2 linked regions of the Xenopus tropicalis genome follow. The protein of the gene in region 2 interacts with the protein of the main gene of each other region in a pairwise test. Links are inferred from orthologs where the notes say so. Each region holds a gene or a part of one and is shown on either strand. Other genes may lie near its edges.

Region 1 (3,758 bases), on a different chromosome or scaffold from region 2:
TAAATTGATGAAACTTTAAAATAACACCTGTCTTAAATCAATACACTGACAATTTTCTTTTAAGTAAGGAAACATTTCATTCTAGGGCTCCCATATGTGCCTGTTCCTGTTTCTACTAGGAAATGATGCTCTCAATGATCAAGATGTCACTTAATACAAGTTAATAATTGGAATAGTTTTCTATAACCAGTTGGCAATATTAAATATTCAGAGGGAAATAACTGGACACTTTAATATTTCGAGCAGGGTTTTCTGGATGTCTCATTTAAAATTATGGCCATAGTTAATCATTAATACACCCTTTGAGAGTGAGTGGTTGGTTTAAAATTCTTTGCATTGAGGGTCCAAGGTCTTCTGTTGCTGCATATCTCCAGCAGGTAAACCTCAGATTTGTAAGAAACCATTTTTATTTGCATTTCTTAATAACATTTATTGCTCTCCACCAAAAAATGTAAATAACTTTGGATATATGTATTCATTTTATGATGTTGCTTTATATAGCAAGTACAAATAAAATATACAGTACATTGTCTGTAACTGTCTACTGTATTTTCTATACAAAGCTCAAATCCCATAGTTTTTTAGACAGCCAAGTATTATTATTATTACCACATATTGATATGGCCTCAATGTATTTTGCAGATTTACATACAAAGAAACTAAGAACTGAGAGAGTTTTTTTCAGTAAACATAAATCTGACCATGCAAGTAAAAATATCCTTGTTTGGTAAGATTTCCTGGTTGGCAACTCCAGAATAAGTTGGCGGCTTACTGGCCCATGTATCAGGCCAAGCCAGTGGTCTGCCCTGCCACTTGCTGGGGAATTGGGCAGATATCAAACCCATTGTACAAGGCCCACATAGATACCAGGCTGCAGAGAACAGTGAAATATTAAAATCCAACCTGTGCCTGACAGAAACCTACAAATGCACAGGCTGCAGCCTCAACCCACCTGACCTGTGGTTCCTGTCAATACTGGGCCAGCCCACGCATCGCTGCTGCAAGGGGTCTAGTGTGGTTTGTTTTTTTAATGCAGTTACTAAAATATGCTTCTAGCCCTTTTTTTGCCATACCCTGGAAGGACACCCATTTCTGATCTTATTATGATAGCAAGTCAAGATGTACATAAAGCTGTTGCAGTTAGAGGGTCTAAGCAGGTAAAAATGTTTGTTGAAGGTCTGGTGCAGACCAATTTAAGTTGAATACAGAAGCCAGTCTTTTTAAAAATACTAATAAATGTTTAAATTCTTCCTTCCAGGGGTACCAGCATTGGTTCGCATTGTTTTAAAAAAAATTCAGCTTTTGCGATATATTAAACATTTTGTGCCAAAAATGAGCCGATTCTTGGCTGTGTTAAGAAGCTGGCTCATGATGGTCTCCATTATCGCAGCTGGGAACACATTCCAGAGCTTTAGAGACCACAGTTTCCTGAGTGACAAGCTTTATACCGCTAGCCCTAACCTGGGTAGGTATGAACATTTATGCAGCCCTGCCTATTAAACTTTGCGCTTGTCGACCTACTCAGCTAACTTTATACCAGGTTTTCCTCCAGCATAAAACACATGCAGCCAATCCCTGGTTGGTAAACTGAATTTCTACTGAAGCTTTTTACCCAGAGGTAACATATAAGCGTTCTAATAACAAGTAAGGGTGTACAAACAAGGTATATGATAGCCCAGGCCACTACATTATGAATGTAAAAGGCTCGAAGGAAAGTTTGGTTCCAGATGTTGTTTACCTCCTTATTCACACCTTTCCACACATTCCTGTTTTTGGAGGAAGTTCAGTCCAGTCATTGTAGCCCACTAATGAGGAATTCATTATATGGCCATACCATACCTTATAACCATTTACAGTGATATCAGGGTACCAAAAAAAATTTTTGTTACTTTCTAAAGTGGGCTCAAATTATTATTAAATACAGGTGCAGGGTCTGTTTTTGATAATGCTTGGGACATGGGGTTTTCTGAATAAGGGATTATCCTGTATTTTACAGTGCAGTACTATTACTACTAGAATGGGAATTATTTCCCATCAACATGGATTGTTGCTTCATTAGTTAACATCAAATAAAAGGTCTTGTGTTTAATCTTTCTGCATATAGCAATGGCACATTTACGCAGTCCTCTACAGAGATGGTTAATCATTTATGCCAGTCCCTTCCTAATATAGCTTACAATCTAAATTCCCTAACACATGGGCCAGGGTTTATGTTTTTTTAGGTACAAATTAGCCTGCCTGAGTTTGGGAAAAAAACAAGAGACACGGGAAATAGGCAAGTGCCTTAGAGATAGTACTAACGTTGGAATGTATCTCAAGTCAGCCTGTTTTAGCCTGTATATGGCCATCATTAAGGAACAGCTTTCTGAAAAGACCTTATTTCACTCCTAAGCCAGCTCTTCCTAGGATGCTAAAGCATGGCATCTCTTCCCAGCATGCAAGCTATCTAAGGGATGCTGGTGGGCTTCCTTGCATGAGCTGCCTCCTTTAGGTCCTCAACATTTCCTCACATGGTCTATAGCAAACTAACAGGTAGTAATGGCAGTTTTTTTGTTTTTCGTTTGGATAGTAGTGGCAACTCTGCCACGCACACCATTGTTATTTAGTGTTCTCCTGATGGTGAATTCATGAACACTAACATTTACTAAAGGAGAGAGGCCTTAGATGTCTAATCCTCTGTGTGGATTTTGTCCAGATCAAGAATTTATAGCCTGTATTTGATATTAAAGGGTAATGATATGCTTTTACAAATATGGTAAAATAATAGACTGCGGTGTCATAAATATGTGTAGTAGGTTGTTCAAAACTAATTGCTAACTGCAACTGACAACTGCTCTTATGCAATTTAGCACTTACGTTCATAAATCATCTCTGTTTTATTTTCAAAACGATTCTATTCTTTTAGGTCTTAACATCTATGGTATATCATGTATGATAAGTTTTTAGTTGAGCAAATTCCCTTTTAAGTAACATGGGTTTTTAAGATTCGCATTATGACAACCAGTGAACAATGTTTTTCTATCTTTTATTAATTACTTGCTTTATTTCTCCACCTCTCAACCAGTAAATGGTCTCCAAGCTCGTACTTTTGGGGTGTGGACACTGCTTTCCTCTGTTATCCGATGTGCATGTGCAGTGGATATCCGGAACAAGACGTACGCACTCTTAGAATGCATTTTTATAAGACCATAAGTATTTGTTGAACATCAAAAATACCCACATACTCTGGCTTTTCCCTCAGTTTCAGTCTGGTGCTTAGTGCGCAAGGAGGGATCGCTAACCCTTCACTTCTGTGCATACAAACACAAAAAATGTATCAGCACAATGTGGCAATTCAAAGCAGGGATACCCCTTCCGTGTTCCGTGGTTTCCTTTCTCTTTTTATTATCTACACAACTCTCCCCTTGAATTTTTTTCATCCTTTTTACACATGCACTAAATAAACATGCAGGGGGAATCCCTGATTTGAATTGCCACATGCAGGGGGAATCCCTGATGTGCCAGCACATTTTTTTGTACTTTGTAGTGACTCTTCTGACTTGCTTGCTTTTCCATTTCTTTTGCCATTCTTACCTTCCATTCTGCCAGATTCCTAATAACAATCAAGGAGTTTGTATGTTCTCCCTGTGTCTCAGTGGATTTCTTCAAGTTACTCCAGTTTTCTTCATACTTCAAAGTATGAAGACATGTTGGCTTGTGAGTCAAATAGTGTGTGTGCTATATGATAGGAAGATAAGCTTGCATTATGGTAGGGACTA
Region 2 (2,935 bases):
TGTTTTTGGCAAATAACACTTTTTGGGAATTCACAGAAGTGTAGTTACCTTAAAATATGAGTTAAAGTGGAGCAAAATTAATTTACCCCACAAAATCATCTAAATACAAATTAACAAAAGTAGACGGTACTGTTTTATTGATTAAAATGGAGTCGATGGAAGATGGCCTTCCCCTAATTTAAAGCTTTTTGGAGAAAGGGTTTCCAGCTAATGCATTCCATAACTGTACTACTTTTACAGAGGACTTCAGTGCTTCTTTGTTCCAAACCATGTAGAGTATTTTTACATTGCTGTGCCCATCCTTTTTAAAGCAACTGTTAAGTATAGAGATTGAGATGTTAATGCTTGTTTGTCCTTGCAGGAACACAATGGCAGCTGTATCTGCCTGCCAGTTGCGTGATGTTTCCGCTGAAGCTTTGGCCTGTTCTGTTATAGGAATAGATGAAGGACAGTTTGTGAGTATTTCCTGATTTAACTTTAAAGTTCGTTCTTCACCTGACTTCTGATGACCGATAATAAAACTTCTGTTCTCATTCAGTTCCCTGACATTGTAGATTTTTGTGAGGAAATGGCAAATCGTGGAAAGACTATGATTGTAGCAGCTCTGGATGGCACATTTCAGAGGAAGGTTAGTTGTAGTTACAAGTATAAGAATGCAATGTGTTGTGCTTTTTACATGGGTTTTAAGTGGCCCTTACCACCTTTTTGTGCACATTTTTAGGCATTTGGAAACATCTTGAATTTGGTGCCTTTGGCAGAAAGTGTTGTAAAACTCAACTCTGTTTGCATGGAGTGTTATCGGGAGGCTGCATACACCAAGCGGCTAGGGGCAGAAAAGGAGGTATGTAAATAGTCTTCTGGAGGTATTATTTATGTCCTTGTCTGCATGTGAGCTATTTGTGCATCAAAAAATGCCAGCTACGTTTTCTATAGACAGATAGCAAAATTATTGCAAATATTTTGCTTCACAGGTAAATCCAATAAATTGCATTATTTCTGTTATGTTATTGTACTTTAAATACAGGTAATGTGCAAATAATTTTTTCCTTGTACTTAATTTCATACACACAAATGGTGTGGCCATATTGCTTAATTTGGTTTAGATATATTCATAGGGGCATATTTATTATAGAGTATAAACCAACATCACCGGTGATGTTGCCCATAGCAACCAATCAAATCTTTGCTTTTATTTGCTAACTTGTAGGTGACCATCCAAATTGAATTGCTGATCGGTTGCTATAGGGAACATCGCCAGTAATGTTGCCTTACACACTGTAATATGCCCCTACTGTATATTCTCATGTTAATCTTCAATTGATGTGGGTTTTGTAATGGCCATTGAGGCAGGAGGTAAAAGAATTAATGTTAATTTTAATTAGGCCAAATTTCAGCTAGTGTCCTGTAGGTTATGAGCCTGCAGACCAGAAAGGGATTTAAAATGCAGGTCCCTATATAGGCATTTTCCACATTCATTCCTTCCTTCCCTCCCACTCTTAAATTATGTCCTTTACAGTTTCATTGTAACCTCATTTTTTTTATTCTATCACAGTGAGTGGGTGAAGCTGCGTAATTTCCTTTTGTTGCTATATGATAAAATGGCAGTTTTAGTTTGAGTCTTAAGTTGTATCCATTCTAAAAGCCCTCAGTAATCCTGATGCTGCCTCCTTTATTTGCCACAATAGTTTTGCATATTACGAGCTAAAAAGAAAAATATATATTAGGGGCCAGTGACATGTGGCAGTCGGGCAGATTTGGATGGAAAAAATTGGCCGGCACTTTGGGTGTGGGTTGTCATTGCCCAGCCACAGCCTGTGGAGCCTGGCTCCACAAAAGCTAGCCTCATCATTGGTGGCATAATGTTTATGGGCTGGTTTGGGTTGGGACAGGTGTCTTAAAAGCCTCTTTTCAACCTCAGACTGGGTAAGGCCTAGGTTGAGAAGGCTGCAGGTTATGGTGTGTGCAGGTCCCCATCTCATAGAATCAGATTTAATTTTTTTTTTCTCCTTTTTCTGCATTGTGTGCAGGTGGAAGTTATTGGAGGAGCTGAAAAATATCACTCAGTCTGCAGACTTTGCTTCTTCAAAAACCAGCAGCTCCCGGTAGAGAAGGAGAATGTGCTTTCTCATAATGCACTAGACACCATTTCCTTAAAGCTTAGTAACAAGCTGCAAACAGCTTGTTCCCCACGCAAGCCACTTGCACAACGACAATGCTTGTAATGGACTGTACAGCTAACTTACTGTATTGCTTAATGTGTATAATGTATGTTTTTTTTAAGACTTATTTTAATTTTTTTTGTATATGTTTTACGTGCATATCTGTATTTACATTAATATTGGCTTCTAAATGGAGATCTTGCTCTTTTGTGCTGTCTTGTTATTTATTTAAATGTCCCTAAAAGCTTAAGGTCCCCATACACGCTGATATCCCCACCTACGGTGGGGCCAAACGATCAAATTATACTGGCGGCAAGGGGCAGTCTGTTCGGGGACCGCATCAACGAGCCGATGCGGCCCCCGATCCGACGGAATTTTCTAACCTGGCCGATCGAGATCTGGCCAATTTCAGGCCAGATATCGGTCGGCTAGGACCCTCGTTTCTGCCCCTACACGGGCAGATAAGCTGCAGAATCGGTCTAAGGGACTGATATCGGCAGCTACAATCTGCCCGTGTATGGGGACCTTTAGTGTAAGAAAGGAAACGACAATGTGTAGTAAATGTTCTTACCTCTTTCTTATCTTGAATTGAACTAAACCCCTGTAAGATGTGACGGATTGCCAAAATACATTCTACAAGTTTGATGTGGTTGTATAGGTCAAAAATCATGTGTTAAAATGCATGAAAGATTTGTCATCTGACACAACATGCCTGTTGGAAGATCAGATGGAGATCCTGACCCAAAAATCTGATCAAAATCTCCCATGGAGTTTAT

What was found.
Region 1: the proteins of tk1 (region 2) and erg28 interact in a two-hybrid assay, tested with the Homo sapiens proteins (2 studies listed by BioGRID and IntAct). The link is inferred for Xenopus tropicalis from reciprocal best matches to the Homo sapiens genes TK1 and ERG28.

What each region holds. Positions count from the first base shown.
Region 1 is NC_030684.2:82,404,768-82,408,525, reverse strand, and holds the start of erg28 (probable ergosterol biosynthetic protein 28 precursor), read left to right. Parts: upstream 1-1,332; coding exon 1,333-1,465; intron 1,466-3,064; coding exon 3,065-3,155; intron 3,156-3,758.
Region 2 is NC_030686.2:26,190,043-26,192,977, forward strand, and holds the end of tk1 (thymidine kinase, cytosolic), read left to right. Parts: intron 1-361; coding exon 362-455; intron 456-538; coding exon 539-628; intron 629-721; coding exon 722-841; intron 842-2,027; coding exon 2,028-2,222; 3' UTR 2,223-2,367; downstream 2,368-2,935. UniProt on the Homo sapiens protein: Cell-cycle-regulated enzyme of importance in nucleotide metabolism. Catalyzes the first enzymatic step in the salvage pathway converting thymidine into thymidine monophosphate.